Oryctolagus cuniculus: one gene and its partners. The protein of the gene in region 1 purifies or fractionates together with the protein of each later gene. This does not show direct contact. Links are inferred from orthologs where the notes say so. Each region holds a gene or a part of one and is shown in the gene's direction. Other genes may lie near its edges.

The links.
Region 2: the proteins of RNGTT (region 1) and PPP4R3A purify together in Homo sapiens (affinity purification with mass spectrometry; 3 studies listed by BioGRID and IntAct, with this or other methods). This does not show direct contact. The link is inferred for Oryctolagus cuniculus from reciprocal best matches to the Homo sapiens genes RNGTT and PPP4R3A.
Region 3: the proteins of RNGTT (region 1) and SUPT5H purify together in Homo sapiens (affinity purification with mass spectrometry; 3 studies listed by BioGRID and IntAct, with this or other methods). This does not show direct contact. The link is inferred for Oryctolagus cuniculus from reciprocal best matches to the Homo sapiens genes RNGTT and SUPT5H.

Annotation. Positions count from the first base shown.
Region 1 is NC_091436.1:83,492,741-83,498,284, forward strand, and holds the start of RNGTT (mRNA-capping enzyme), read left to right. Parts: upstream 1-2,203; 5' UTR 2,204-2,441; coding exon 2,442-2,505; intron 2,506-5,544.
Region 2 is NC_091451.1:36,887,336-36,892,821, reverse strand, and holds the start of PPP4R3A (serine/threonine-protein phosphatase 4 regulatory subunit 3A), read left to right. Parts: upstream 1-1,805; 5' UTR 1,806-1,942; coding exon 1,943-2,084; intron 2,085-5,486. UniProt on the Homo sapiens protein: Regulatory subunit of serine/threonine-protein phosphatase 4. May regulate the activity of PPP4C at centrosomal microtubule organizing centers.
Region 3 is NC_091449.1:15,496,724-15,501,500, reverse strand, and holds part of SUPT5H (transcription elongation factor SPT5), read left to right. Parts: intron 1-128; coding exon 129-222; intron 223-313; coding exon 314-450; intron 451-1,507; coding exon 1,508-1,663; intron 1,664-1,762; coding exon 1,763-1,909; intron 1,910-2,218; coding exon 2,219-2,365; intron 2,366-2,449; coding exon 2,450-2,575; intron 2,576-3,420; coding exon 3,421-3,505; intron 3,506-3,825; coding exon 3,826-3,936; intron 3,937-4,019; coding exon 4,020-4,122; intron 4,123-4,205; coding exon 4,206-4,333; intron 4,334-4,419; coding exon 4,420-4,525; intron 4,526-4,777. UniProt on the Homo sapiens protein: Component of the DRB sensitivity-inducing factor complex (DSIF complex), which regulates mRNA processing and transcription elongation by RNA polymerase II.

The DNA of each region.
Region 1 (5,544 bases):
TTTTTAACTTAATATTTTATTATTAATTTTTGGAGATACATTTTTAATTTACATTATAGTGGAAGGCATAGAAAAAGACCATAGTCTAACAGAAGAATAGGAAAAGGCTATAGACAATAATCAAATGAAAAGATACTCAACTTCACTCATAATTTTTTAATTTTAATTTTTAAAGATTTATTTTATTTATTTGAAAGACAGAGTTATACAGAGGTAGGGACAGAGAGAGAGAGGTGTCTTCCATCCTCTGGGTCACTCCCCAAATGGTCACAATGGCTGGAACTGTGCTAATCCAAAGCCAGGAGCCAGGAGCTTCTTCCAGGTCTCCCATGTGTGTGCAGGGGTCCAAGGACTTGGGCCATCCTCCACTGCTTTCCCAGGTGCATTGGCAGGGAGCTGGATCTGAAGTGGAGCAGCTGGGACTTGAACAGACTCCCATATGGGATGCTGTTGCTGCAGTCTGGGGCTTTAACCTGCCATACCACAGCGCTGACCCCTCCACTCATAATTTTAAAATAGTCACAAAATTATTAAAGCTGCAGTAGCATATAATTCCCATCAATTTGTTTGACAAAGATTTAAAACAAAGTTTTAAAACAAAACACTGTATTTGCAGTAAAATTGATACACATGGACATTTCATTCTTTTTTAAATTTTAGTGGTCATCTATTTTTTTGCTGAATAGCAGAGACCTGGGAGTAGGAGCAAGATAGGTAGAAACACCTACCAGGCAAAGGAGAGAGAAACTGTTCACTCACTTGGATGCAATGCTCCCACCCTACTCTGCACTGTGGCTGGGCAAATGGGAGCCACAGTGTCCTACCAATCTGTGATAGTGAGGGTGGAGAGGGGATAATGGACAGTGGAGTACAAATTGAGCAAACACTGTTGCAACAACAGAGCCAATAGCAGCTGCTCAGAAGTGGTTTGCAGCTCTCTGTCTAGGCAAGAGCTTCCCGGGTGGACACAGTGTATGGGAGAAGGAAAGCTTCCCAGGGGAGTTGTCTCCAGAAGGGAGACCCATATTTGTCATGTTTTGGCTACCAACAGGAAATACCTGAGGCCGGCTGCTTTATAAAGAAAGGAGGTTTATTTTGGATCATGGCCCTGAAGATTCACAGTTCAAGACTAGGCAACTCCCATTGGTACAGCCTCTGGTGACCGTGTTCTTTGCAGAATTCTGAGTTGGCACAGGATATTACATGGCAATAAATGGGCAGCTTGCATGCTCTACACCGTCTTTTCCACCAGGATTCATAGAGGCTACACCTTAATTACCTAAAACAATCTAATCTCTTCCCAGAGATGAGACCCTACCTCTATGTATCCTGACCACATTACATTTCCATTCCTTTCAGATCATTCACATATAACTTTGGGAACTAATTCGCATGAGTTTGCAGATAAAATCATATTTGACTTATAGCAGGGAGGAATGATATACCTTTGCTAAAAAGTCTGAGCCGATCTCAGTTGGACAGACCAGGCGCGTGATCTAACTCAGCCAGCCTCAGAAAGTCACTGGGTTCTCTTTAATTGTGGGAGAATCCTTCTTCCACTGAGGTGGTCCAGGTATTGAAGAGCTAAGCTGCCCAGAAAATTCTCCACTGATTCTTTTTTCTTTCTTTCTTTCTTTTTTTTTTTTTAAAGATGTATTTATTTACTTGAGAGGCAGAGTTACAGACAGAGGAAGAGACACAGAGAGAGGTGTTCCACCTGCTGGTTCATTCCCTAAATGGCCACAATGGCCGGAGCTGGGCCATCTGAAGCCAGGAGCCAAGAGCTTTCTCTGGTACTTGTTCCTCTGATTCGCATTAAGGGGAATCTTCCCATCAAACCCAGATCCGGGCGGGACACAAAACTTGAGCTGTGACAGTGGAGAGAGGCCTTTTTCATCAGTACAATTAATGCCTTTATGAAAGCTACAGGTCAATGAAATCATGAAAAAAAGCTTGCTGTCCTTCTAGTGTGTGGGATTGTTTTTAGTCATCTACGTGGGAAAAGAAAATACTATACAGGTCCCTCACCCCGGTACGGGACCGGGATGACTGCGCACGCGCAGAGGCGGTCTGCTCACGCTTCGCAGCTCGGAGGGGCGGGGCGAAGGTAGCCCCGCTCCACCCATTCGCCTTGGCTTTAACTCCTTGCCATCCCTCCGCCGAGTTTCCTTTCTTTCCCCTTTGACCTCGGAAAGAAGGGGGCGGGGACTTTAGGGGGCGGAAGTCGCGGTGCATTGTGGGTTCGGATAGAGCGGCGGAGTTGAGCCTGAATGAAAGTGGCGCGCCGCCCCTGATGTTATCCGGCTAGGAGCGGCTGGCGTTCGGATCCCAGGCGGTGTTCGGGTGCCGCGGACCTCTGGTGGGCACCAGACCTCGAGGAGGCGGCGGCAGAGGCGCGGCGAGTGTTGGTGAAGCCGAGCGGCTCTGCGCGGCCCCAAGACATGGCTCAAAACAAGATCCCACCGCGGTGGCTGAACTGTCCTCGGCGCGGCCAGCCGGTTGCAGGTAACCCGGGCAGGAGGTGTTCCAGGTCCCGCACCCACACGGGCAGGGGGTGGGCCGCCCGGGGAGCCCAGCTTTCGGTGGTCCCGGGTCTGTCAGTGATATTTCAGGACCCCGATGTGCCGGGTCGAGAGAAGCTTCGTGGATGAGTGTTTGGGACCGCGGACGGGAGGGGGTGGGTCGGTCGATGGGGGTTACTTGTCACTGCGCCTGCAAGGCTAAGTGTTGCGGACGGGATGGTTTGTGCGGCAGGAGTGGAGGACCCAGGACACTGTAGACAGTACTTGGAAGCTTACAAGTTTGTGAATCTTCTAGGGTTCAGCCCTCCCGTTGGAAGGAGACAGGGCGGGTTAGGGAGGGAGAAAGGATAAGGAGGAGGAGGGCATGTAGCGCCCAGTGGGGAAAACGGACCGACACCGAGGCTGAGAAGACGGAGGTTTTTTGTTAAGTGACTTTTATTGTGGGTTTTTCATCTCTATTGAGTTTGAAATATAATAAGCTTTAAAGTGTACAGTTTGATAAATTGAGACTATACGCACGTATACATTCTAGGAGACACCTATGAAACCATGGCCCCTCAAAGTTTCCCCTTGTTTCTTGGTAATCCCTTCCTTCTTAGGCAACCAGCCATCTACTTTCTATAGATTAGTTTGCATTTTCTAGAGTTTTTTAAATTCTAGAAATACTGTATGGGAGCATATAGTTGGGGTGTGCGTGTCTGGCCTGTTTTTCTCAGCTGTGCTGTTTAGAGACTCCTTCAGGTTGTTGCGTGGATTGATAACTCATTTCTTTTCGTTGCTAAGTGGTATTCCTTTTGTTAGGGATACTCTGTACTTTGCTTTCTGTTCTTCTGTTGATGGTCTTTAGGGTTGTTTCCAGTTTTTAGCTATTACAGATAGACTTGCCGTGAACATTCGTGCACAGTTATTTGGGTGGAAATCTCTAGGAGAGGAATGGCTGGATCAGGTATAGGTGTACGGATAGTTTTCTGAGAAACTCCTGCTTCTCTTCCGAGGCAGTACCATTTTCCGTTGCTGCCATCAGTGCATTTTATTTGTTCGCGTGGTCCAGGACACTTGGTGTGGTCAGTCGTATTAGTTGTAGCCATTGCGATAGATGTGGAGTAAGATCTTTACGTGGTTTGATGTTGAGCGTCTTTTCACGTGCCTCTTGACTACTCATATCTTCTGTGAAGTATCCAGATCTTTTGCTGATGTTGAAGTTGGGCTCATCTCACTGAGTTGTTAGAGTTCCTTATACAGTCTCTGTTGAATGTATGTTTTTGCAAGCCTTTTCTCCAGTCTGTGGCTTACTTTTTCATTCTCTAAAATTTCTTTTGAAGGGTGAAAGCTTGACATTTTAACTAACTTCAACTTACTGCTTTTTCTAGGAGCTAGTTTTGAAATGAAATTAAAAGATTTTGTAGCTAAGAGTATTTACTAATTATGTACATATTTATTGTGAGCCTAATTATTTCAAATTATTGAGGAGGAGATTCTGTAGACACTTTTTGTTTAGGTTTGTTGAATCTTCTAGTTTGTCAGATTTTTGCATTTTGTGTAAAATCATCAATGAAGCATACAAACAATGGATAAAAGTGATATTGAAGATGATCTAAGCAACTCTTAGTGTATATTTGGAATTAGAAAACAGTTTGCAAATCAAATTGAGTTTTTTTTTTTTTTTAATTTATTTGAATGGCAGAGTTACAGAGAGAGAGAGAATTTCCATACATTGCCTTCATTCCCCAAATGGCCGCAATGGCCAGGGCTGGGCCCTGTGGAAGCCAGGAGCCAGGAGCTCATCTGGATCTCCCATTGAGGTGCAGGGACCCAAGCACTTGGGCTGTCCATTGCTTTCCCAGGCACGTTAGCAGGGAGCTGGATTGGAAGTGGAGGATCTGGGTCTGGGACTGGATCTGGTGCCCATATGGGATGCCGGTGTTGCGAGTGGCTGCTTAACTCTGCCAGGCCATGACGCTGACCCCACCAGTCAAGTTTTTAAAAAATTTTTTGGGAAATTGAGCTAAACTAGTGATGGTGTGCTCCAGATTTGTGGTGCTCAAACTTTAGAGTATCTCAAAATAAAATGGAAGGCTTATTAAAACCTCAGTGGCATCCACCCTTAGAATTTTCATTTTTCATTAGTTCCCAGATAATGCTCTTGATCCTGATCTGGAAACAAATTATTTTTTTCATGGAATTTTAAAACAGAGTTTTTTTTTTTTTTTTTTTTAATGATTTAATTATTTATTTTTGAAAGAGACAGAAAGAGATATCTTCCATCTGCTAGCTTACTCCCCAGGTGGCCACAATGGCCAGGAGTGGGCCAGGACAAAGCTAGGAGCCAGGAGACTTACCTGGCTCATCCACGTGGGTGGGCAGGGGCCCAAGCATTGGGGCCATCCTCCGCTGCTTTTTCCCAGGCCATTATCAGGGAGCTAGATAGGAAGTGGAGCAGCTGGGAACCAGCACCCGTGTGTGATCCTGGAGTCTCAGCTGGTGGCTTTACTCACTATGCTGCAATGCTGGCTTCTAAAACAGAGTTTTAATAAAAGACTCACAACTTGGCTGTGGCAATCAGAATACTGACTTTAGTTAGAAACATAGGACAAAAGTGGCACTAGTTGGAGGACTGGTAGTAGTGAGTAAGGTGCTTTGATCCAGACAGTTTATATCTCTCCGAGAAAGGGAGTTGGGTGCCTTATTAAAAATCCTACTCTGCAAAAGCAGTGGAAGATGACTCAAGTGCTTGGGCCCCTGCACCAGTGTGGGCGACTGGAAGAATCTTCTGGCTCCTGGCTTTGGCCTGGCCCAGTCCTGGTTATTGCAGCCATTTGGAGAGTGAACCAGTGGATGGAAGTTCTTGCTGTTTCTCCCTCTCTCTGTCAGTAATTCTGCCTCTTAAATGAATAAATAAATCTTTAAAAAAATCCTACTGTGCTGGTAATGAAGAGGGTCTGGGATAGTTTTTTTTTTAATTTTTTTAATTATTTATTTATTTATTTATTTTGACAGGCAGAGTGGACAGTGAGAGAGAGAG
Region 2 (5,486 bases), on another chromosome or scaffold:
CCCTTTCTCTTCTCTCTGTAAGGAATAAACCTTAAAAAAAAAAAAAAAAAAAAAGTCTGGCATCCTGGAAACCTGTCGGCCTAGGGTTGCCACGTGCCTGTTTCTGAATTCGTGGGTGGAGCAGAGGACACTGCAAGGCTGAGGCCAGGGTCCTGGTCACGCGGGGCTCCCGCACCTGCACCTGCTGGACCCGCGACCCCCGCCCAGGGCCACTGAGCCTTCCAAAGGTGACTAGGTGGGCTGAGGACCCGAACTGCATTTTCCTTCATCTTCATTGAGTCCACTTTGAAAACTGAATTTAAAAGCTTAGGATGTGACCCTACTTTTTCACTTGTCAACTTAATGACACCTGGACAGGTAGGGTTCCGACGAACACCCAGCGTCCAAGTAGAGGCTAAAAGACACAGCACATTTTGAAGACATGGGACGTAGGAATGCAATGCGTCTCGTTAATAATTTTATATTGATGGCTGAATACTTTTGAAAATACAACAGAATATTTCTTTAAAAATCGGTTTCTTCGTACCTTTAAAAAAAAAAAAGCGGTTAGTATCAAAATTGAAATTATAATATGCGGCTCGGTGGTTGCTAGCGGACAGGGCGCATCCAGGGGGCCCGGCGAAGGGCGAGACCCCCCAGAAGGTGGCCGAGACTGGCACGACAGGCACGCGGAGAGCAGGCGCTGGCGCCCGTGGCTACGCCCCCGGGGTTCTGGCAACGCCGAGGGCTGGCAAATGCCAGTTCTGACCCCGGGGCACGGGAACGGCCTGCGAAGGGAGCTCTCGAAAGCGTCATCGGGGCTCCGTCCGGGCCCAGCAAAACCGCCCGCAGGCCCCGGGCGCGCCCCGCCCGGACCTGCGGCCTCGCCCCGAAACGCCGCAGCTGCAGCCCGCAGGCCAACGGCCTCCATCCCCGCCCCGGGCAGGTCCCGCGGGCGCGGGGCGTCTCCCGAGGCGGCCGGCGGAGCTCTCGCGCAGGCCGCAGGCGGCCCCGCGGCCTCCACGCCCCTTCCGAGTCCCGGAGCCCGGGCTGATGACGAACACAGGGCGCGACGGACGCACACGCCGCCCCGCGCTCGCACGACGGTGCGTGCAGGGAAGCGCGAGGGAGCCCCGGGCCGTCGCCGGCGCCACCAGCGTCCCCACCTCCTCCGCTCCCGGCGCTCCCGCCGGCCCGGCAGCTCGCCGCCCGCCGCCCGCCTCCGGCCGAGGCCGCCGCCCCGCCGAGGCGCCCGCCTCGCTGCTGTCTCTTTAAATGGTGGGGCCAACGGGCCGCCCCTGCAGCTGCTGCCTGGGTGGCCCCGCGCGCCGCTTTTGAGGGGCGAACCAAGATGGCGGCGGCTTTGGCTCGCTGAGGAAGACGGAAGAGGCGGCGGCAGCGGCGCTGGGCGAGCGGCTTGCAGCGGCCGGAGTCGCTCTGACGCCGGGGGGCCTTCGCGGGCCTGCCGGGCGCTGGTAGCCGCCGCGGCGGGGGCGGGCGCCCGTCGGCTCCGGCCCCTGGGAACAGCGGGAGCAGCGCGAAGCCGCCGGCCGCGGTGGCGGGGCCAGGTACAAGGAAGGAAAACATGGCGGCGGCGGCCTGAGGCGGCGGCGCGGGAAGCGGCTTGGCGGAGATCATGGCGCAGGCGGGAGCAGGGCAGTGTTAACCGGGCCCCGAGTTGCTGCCGCGGCGGGGCGGGAGGCTCCGAAGCGCTGCGCGCCCCCACCCGGGGCGGCCGGGCCTCGCCGGGCCTGGACAATAGCGCCGAGCGGCCGGCGGCGAAGCGAGGCGGCGGCCCTGAGCGCGGGCCCGGCGGCGGGACATGCGGGCGGCGGCGCGGCGGCAGTGAGGCCGGGCAGCCCTCGGCTTGCGGGCGCCCTCCCGCCTCGGCGCCCGCCTTTGCGGGACCCGCTTCCTGGGCGACTGCGGCGGGGCCCCCGGGCCGGCCCCGGGCGCGGGCACGATGACGGACACCCGGCGGCGGGTGAAGGTCTACACGCTCAACGAGGACCGGCAGTGGGACGACCGGGGCACCGGGCACGTGTCGTCCGGCTACGTGGAGCGGCTGAAGGGCATGTCCCTGCTTGTCAGGGCCGAGAGCGACGGTGAGTGGGGCCGCCCGGGGTCTCGGGGGGCCGCGGGTGCCCCCGCCGCATCCGCCGGCGCTCGGGGGCCGGGCGCTGGCGAGGCCGGGGGCCCGGGATCGGGAGCCCGGAGCGCGCTGCTCTTCGCACCCGAGTGACCTTGAGAAAGGCGCCGGTTACTCCCATCTCCTGCCTTAGTTCACCCATCTGTAAAGGAGGCGTGGAACTTTGCGGGGAGCTTAGCGAGGTCTTGGCCGTGCCCCTCGTGGAAGGACATTTCGCGTGGGTTTTTGCTGGTTTGTGGGTGTTCGTTTTGTCTGGCTTCGGCCGTGTGTTTCAGGTCCCGGTGCGGGTTGGCAGCCCTGCCCTCGGCAGAGAACGGCCGCTTTGCCCTGGCCAGGGGAGCCCCGTGTGCCCAGCGTGGTTCTTGGCCACAGCGAGGCAGCGTGTGTTTGTCGTCTCACTGTGCAAATGTCCTGCAAGTTCGGGATGGCTTTCCTTGCTGGCTTTTGGGTTGCTTCAGTGCGTGTTCACGGTTCGGTTCGGTTAACAGGTGGGGGGAAGTTGGCAGGTCCTGTGAAAACCTTTAGCGTCTGCCGGAAGCAGCCCTCAAGGTCCAAAGACCGCGGTGTTTGAACTAGGGAGGCTTCGCCTTTTAAGACTTAATCTGTGCGGGGGTTGCCTCTTTCCCTCCCGGCGTTCTGTGAAGTTCACTTAAAGATGTTCAGGTTGGGTGAAACTGTTTCCAGGCCGTTTCTAAAGTGAAAGAAGCTCTTTCTCACCTATCTTGTTACATTGGCTGGTAACTTTACAGCCCCTAACTGTGCTGCTTGGTTTTGATTGTAGTCCTTCCCTATCTGAATTACTACAAACCGATTTCAAGGAATTGTCCTCATTTGAATTCTACACCGAACTCCAATTCCATGGAAAACAGACGAGACTAGATATTCTGTAATGGAAGACTCGAGGAAATAGATGTTCAGTTTGTATTGAAAATGGTGATTTGGAGTATGTTTACCAGATTATCAGGCTGTCTCTGGTAACTGGAGACAAATAATTTGGGGGGGGGGGCTTCAAAGCTTTAGAAATTGGGTATATTTTTGTGAGATGGAGTTGTTATTTGCCTTAAAATAGAAGCTGAGTGTCTAGAGTTGGTGTGCTTTTGTCCTCCTGTGGGGGCCGTCCCTTCTGTCCTACCCTACCTTTTACATCCTTGCACATTTGGGAAACTTTTTTACACAGTGAATTGGAAAACATCGGCTTAGGTTCATTTAGCTTCTTTTTAGATGAAGAGATATGTAAATTTGAGCTCAATTTGAAATATGCTATTAAAAATAATCCATACAACCTTATTTCAAAAAAAAATCTGTTATCCCCCCTTACATTTTTACCATTTTGGAAATAGTCCCTCATCTGCCTTCCTCCATTTGGAAGGGAGAGGACTCTGAAGTGAAGCAGGGTGGATGCTGACACAAAATGGCTTTGATCTTATCTAACAAGGAAAGGGGGACTGAACTGAACTCCATTACTAATGTGCCCTTTCAGATTTAAGTTATAAGGAAAACTATCCTAAGAATGGACTTAGATTCCAAGATATTTGTGTGACATTGTTGCAAATACTATTTAGTTTGATGATTAACACTTTTTTCTGACAGAAAAACTCCGAATAGAAATAGTCAGAATGTATTGAATGCTTCTGTGTGCCAGAGACGCTGTAAGCAGCTGATGTGCACTGACTTACGTAGTTCCCACAGTCCTGTGTTGTTAGCTGTGTTTTACAAATCGGGAAGCCGGGGCTTAGACATTCAGGAACAGGACCACAGAGCTAGTTCAGAGACGAGGTTAGTGGTCAAATTGAGTGTGTTCTGGGTTTGAGTGAAAATCTAGCCTGTCCCTTGAAACTAGTGATTTTTAAGTTCCTGTATTGCTGTCTGCTTATTTTTTCTGCTTTATTTTTAGCCTGAAGGTTTAGTTGAAAGAAAATGAAAATAATTTTTAGCCTGAAGATACTTAAAATTACAGTTTATCTCTCTAGGTTTATAGGATAATTAAGAATTTTCTTTTTATTGTGATGAGCAAAATGAAAACTATTTCTGATTCTCCATAAAGTGAGTCATTTATCCAATAGAAACGTAAGATTATTGAGCTTTTCCATTCTTGGGCTGGACCTGGTTGTTTAAGTTTTTCCTTTATTTATTTTTTTAGTCTTTTCAAATCAGAGGGATTGACGATGTAAGTGCTAACTTAGCATTACTTTTTTCCACCAGATTCTTTAGACTCTTCAGATTTCTTTAATGTAAGAAAAATAAGATTCTTAACACTTGCAAAATACTTGTAGCCTGTAAAATTAATTAACTTTTGTGATGTGTTAATTACCCATATTATAAATAGGCTGTTATTTCACAGTTCAGCTAATTTAGTGAGAAATTGCTCATTGCTGGGTAGGTGCATACCTGTGAAAAAGGTGGAGGTAACAATTTTTTTACATTTATATATAGATACTCTCAAGAAAGCTAACTAACTTGTCTAAAGCTTACTTCATTGACAGCGTATGCTCTGGTTCTTCACTCAGGTCTTCCTTTTTTTTCTTTATAAAAATGATTTATTGGGGTCAGCGCTGTGGCATAGCAGATAAAGCCGCTGCATGCAGTGCCAGCTGCTCTACTTCCAATCCCACTCTCTGCTATGGCCTGGGAAAGCGGTAGGAGATGGCCCAAGTCCTTGGGCCCCTGCATCCATGTGGGAGACTGGAAAAAGCTCTAGCCTTCACATAGGCCCAGCTCTGGTCGTTGCAGCCATTTGGGGAATGAACCAGCGGATGAAAGACCTTTCTCTCTTTCTCTGCCTCTGCCTCTCTGTAGCTCTGCCTTTCAAATAAATCTTTAAAAAATGATTTATTTATTTATTTGGAAGGCAGACAGAGTGACAGGGCAAGATAGATCTTGTGTCCGCTGGTTTACTCCCCCAATGGCCGGGACAGCCAGATCTGAGCCAGGCTGAAGCCAGGAGACTGGAACTCCACCTGGATCTTTCTCGTGGGTGGCAGAAGCCCACGTGTTTAGGCTGTCATCTGCTGCCTTCTTAGGTGCATTAGCGGGAAGTTGGATCTGCTGTGGAGCAGCCCAGACTTGAACCTGCGCTCCAGTGTGGATGTACTGTACACATCTGTACTGGTACACAGCTGTACCACAGGGCCCACCTGCTGGGGCTTACTTTGAAGCTTCAAGGCGTTTCTGCTACTGTCCTGCTTACTTAGTAACTGTCTACAGCCTCGACATGAACATAGAGGCTAGATAGTTTTAATTTTTTTAATATTGGGTCTATGAGGATACTTCAAAATGTTCGTGAGAAATGGAATCAAAATATAAGTTGTTTTTTTTTGGGGGGGGGTGCCTATATAAATCATCCTTTGATTCAGTTTCC
Region 3 (4,777 bases), on another chromosome or scaffold:
TGCTGTCCAGGTCTGTGCTTGATGTTGCTTGGGTCAGGAGTGATCCAGGGGTGATGCCCGGCAGCTGGGTGCTGGCACTGACCTCGGTCCCTTCCTCCCCACGCCCTTGCTTGCCCCTGGGCGCTCAGATCACAGAGGGTGTGAAGCCCACACTCTCTGAGCTGGAGAAGTTTGAGGACCAGCCGGAGGGCATCGACCTGGAGGTGGTGACTGAGAGCACAGGTATCTGGTCCCCGTCCGTGGCTCAGGCCCAGAGGGAGTGGGCGGCCCGGCAGGGGCAGCCCCCACCTCAGCCTTCTGGCTGCCCCCGCAGGGAAGGAGCGAGAGCACAACTTACAGCCTGGGGACAACGTGGAGGTGTGTGAGGGGGAGCTCATCAACCTGCAGGGCAAGATCCTCAGCGTGGACGGCAACAAGGTCACCATCATGCCCAAGCACGAGGACCTCAAGGTGGGTCCCGGGTCCCTCTGCTCACTCAGCCGAGAGGCAGGGACTGGAGTTCCGGGCAGGGACGTCTGTCAGTGTTGTAGGGCACATCCAGACCTTTCTAGCACTTTCCAGTGCCTTCAAGTGTTTGGTGAGGTCGTAACATGTGCACTTGGGTGGGGTCAGTGCAGACCTGCTTTTGTGATTGGGATGAAATAATGGTTAGTTTCTGTGGTCCTGGCCTGTGGCTTCTGGTCTCCGGGGAACTGCTGGACTGTTTGTATGTGGAGGCCTGGCTGTGTACATGGGGTGTGTGTGCTGTGTTTCTCTCCTGGGGCGTAAGGGAAGGACTGTGTGTGTCCTGCCTGCATGTGGCCATTTGAAGGAGGATGTGTGGTTTAAGGGGTGGGTCAGCAGGTGTTAATGGCTCAGCTGGCTAAGCCGCCACTTGGGATGGCCACATTGTGTATCAGAGTAGCTCGTCTGCTTCTGATCCCGCTTCCTGCTGATGCACCTGGGAGGCAGCATTTGATGGCTCAAATGCTTGGCCCCTGCCACCCACATGGGAGACCTAGACGGAGTTCCTGGGCTCTTGGCTTTAGTCTGGCCCAGCCCCAACTGTTGGGGCATTAGGGAGTGAGCCAGTGGGTATAAGTTCTCTCTCTGTTGCTCTGTGAACAAAAAGAAATAAACATTATTTTAAAGTCAATCTTTTTAAAAAGAAGTATAAAAAGTAGGGTATCTGGGAATGTATCAGGTTGAGTATGTGACAAATCAGATTGCTCTGAGCGGGTATGTACGTGTTGGGGTGATGTGGGTTGTGTTGGTTGTTGGGTGGGCTGTCTGGTGTGTCATGTGTTTGAGGGTCAGCCGTCTCTGGGGGACACATCGTGTGTCTCGTCTTTCTTTGTGGGTAAAGGTGTGTGTGGGGGCCGCTGTGTTGGTCTGAGAGCTCTCCAGGTGGCCTCAGGGAGCAGGTTTGAGCCGGTCTCCCGAGTAAATGAGTGGCTTCTGAGGATGGGGGGGGTGGGTGGGTGTGGTGCCGCCCCCCACCTGAGTGTCCCTGCACCCATTTCCCCAGGACATGCTGGAGTTCCCGGCCCAGGAACTCCGGAAATACTTCAAGATGGGGGACCACGTGAAGGTGATCGCTGGCCGCTTTGAGGGCGACACAGGCCTCATTGTGCGGGTGGAGGAGAACTTCGTCATCCTCTTTTCCGACCTCACCATGCACGAGGTGGGTGCACGGGAGGCCTGGTTGGGGCACGTGCCTAGAGGAGACCCGGGTAGACCAGAAAACCAGACCCTGCTCACACCTTCACCCTCTCCCCCACAGCTGAAGGTGCTGCCCCGGGATCTGCAGCTCTGCTCAGAGACTGCGTCAGGTGTGGATGTTGGGGGCCAGCACGAATGGGGTGAGATGGTGCAGCTGGACCCCCAGACTGTGGGCGTCATCGTGCGGCTGGAGCGGGAGACCTTCCAGGTGTGTGCCCAGTTCTCTGCGGTGGGAGCTTCCTTTCCCTTGAGCCCCTTGTCCTGGGGGTAGGGGCGGGTGGTGGCCAAGCACAGTGGCTACGAACCCAGCGCCCTCTGAGTTGCAGGCCTGGCCCTGTCACTTGTGGCTTTGTGACAGTGAGCAGGTGGCAGGTATTTCTTTGCCTCAGTTTCACTCTTGGACGATGGGGATAATAGCAGCATCTGTGTTCATTCCATGAGAAGGTCTGAGGTTGTTGTACTCCCTGCGTGTCCCATCTCTCCCTCACTCCCTGCCACCCTCCGTGTCCCTCCGTAGGTGCTGAACATGTACGGGAAGGTGGTGACCGTCAGGCATCAAGCTGTGACCCGGAAGAAGGACAACCGCTTTGCTGAGTCCCTGGACTCAGAACAGAACAACATCCACGTGAAAGACATCGTCAAGGTCATCGATGGCCCCCACTCAGTGAGTGCAGACCCTGCCCTTGAGCCCACTGGGAAGTCGGGGGCAAGGCGGGGCAGGCAGGAGAGTGACCCTTCTGCCTCCTAGGGCCGCGAGGGCGAGATTCGCTATATCTTCCACATCTTCGCCTTCCTGCATTGCAAGAAGTTGGTGGAGAATGGAGGCATGTTTGTCTGCAAGACCCGGCACCTGGTGCTGGCCGGGGGCTCGAAGGTGAGGCTGGTGTGGTGACCCCGTCTGTGGCGGCCTGGCTCAGCTCTCCAGCCTCCTCTGGCTCTAGGTGGGAGGAGATTGGATTGTGGGGGATTAGGAGAGAGCAGGTGGCAGTGGCAGGTCCTTGGCGAGTGTGGGATTCTGAGCAGCTCCCCCGCTCACTCCGTCGTTCAGTTTTATTTTTTGAACCCCTGTTGGGTGCCAGACATGAGATAGAGCAAGACCCAACCTGGCCTTCCTGGAGCCGAGCAGAAGGAGAGCGTACGTGTCCTGTGGGGTGCTGGCAAGGCCGCGAGGGGATTTCAGACGGGGAGAGATGGAGAAAGGAGGGGCTGCTCCGAGAGGAGGGGAAGGAAGGCCTCCGCAGGTGCGGCCTTTGCGCAGAGACTGAAGGAAGGTGTGGAGGGCAGCGGACAGCTTGGGGAACAGCACGTGCCGAGGTCCCGGATGGGACTTGCAGAAAAGTGTACAGACCGGGCGTCGGCAGGGAAGTCAGGCCTGGGGTCTCAGTAGCTGGGCCCAGAAGGTGGACTCCGGGGGCCCGCAGATGGGATGATGAACGTTCACGGCTTGCGGCTTTTGTGTCGCTAGGGACTTAATTCCTGACTTGTCATGTTTCAGTCCTGCTCCTTGGCCTAGGAGGCCGGGGGCTGTTGATTGACAGGCCCAGGGTGGCAGCGGGCCAGCCGTTCCCCTGAAGGAGGGAGGGATGGCTGCTGGGCAGGTGACGCAGGGACTGTCTCCACATGGAGGCGGTCGATGCGGTGTAGGGGCTGCGGCCTGTTGCCCAGGCCCTGCCACCCCCATCCCCTGCCTGTCAGGTTCACTCCTTGCCCCTCCCCTAGCCCCGAGATATGACCAACTTCACCGTGGGTGGCTTTGCCCCTATGAGCCCCCGGATCAGCAGCCCCATGCATCCCAGCGCTGGAGGTGAGAGGGGTCAGAAGCCAGGGATGTGTCGGGTGGTGGGGAGGGGCTGGAGGAGAGCCCATTCTCCCTGAGCACCTGCTCTGGGCCAGGCCCTGCCTGTAGGGCTCAGAGCTCGGGGGAAGACGAGCCCAACCCCACAGTGACAGCAGAGTGGTCAGGGCTGTGATGGGAAGGCCCAGGGGTTGGGGCAGAGGAGGCTCCCAACCCAACTAGGGGGGAGACAAGCAGGGGAAGAGGGTTTGCGGGTGCCCTGGCTGTGGGCCCAGCACGTGAAGGGGGTACGGCCCTGGGGGACTGGTGATGTTCTCCTCCCTCCGCAGGTCAGCGTGGTGACTTTGGTAGCCCAGGTGGCGGCATGAGCAGAGGCCGGGGCAGGAGAGACAATGAGCTCATCGGCCAGACTGTGCGCATCTCCCAGGGGCCCTACAAAGGTGACCTGTGAGACCGTGTGGAGGCCCGGGGAGGGCGCTGTGCACGAGCGCCCCACCTGGCCTGACCCCCCACCTCCCACCAGGCTACATCGGCGTGGTGAAGGATGCCACAGAATCCACGGCCCGCGTGGAGCTGCATTCCACCTGCCAGACCATCTCTGTGGACCGTCAGCGGCTTACCACAGTGTATGGGCCCAGCTGAGGGAGGGCCCTGGTGGTGTGGTGGGCATTGAGAGGGTCCTCCTCACCCCCTTGTTCTTTGTTCACAGTGGCTCACAGCGCCCTGGTGGCATGACCTCAACCTATGGGCGGACACCCATGTACGGCTCCCAGACGCCTATGTATGGCTCTGGCTCCCGCACACCCATGTACGGCTCTCAGACGCCGCTGCAGGATGGTGAGCCCTCCCAGGGGATGGGGGAGGGGTGGCTGGGGGAACCGGAGGCCGGGCGGAACTGATGGCCGTTGTCTCCCCAATTCCAGGCAGCCGTACCCCACATTATGGCTCACAGACACCCCTGCATGATGGCAGCCGCACTCCTGCCCAGAGTGGGGCCTGGGACCCCAATAACCCCAACACGCCATCACGGTGAGCCCTAGGGTTCCAGACACTGGGGGTGTGTGCTGGAGTATTGTTGGGGGAATTCTCTGCTCCCAAGCCCAGGCTGGTCCATGTGGAAGAGCAGGCATGGCTGGAGTTGGGCAAAACAGGCTGCTCCAGGCTGGGTTAGTGCTGGGCGTGACCTTGGGCGTGCAGCTCTCTCCCCTGCAGCAGTCGCGGCTGTGGCCGGGACACCTCTGGATGGGGCTCCTGCGAGGAGTCCGTCTGGGGCCCGGTGCG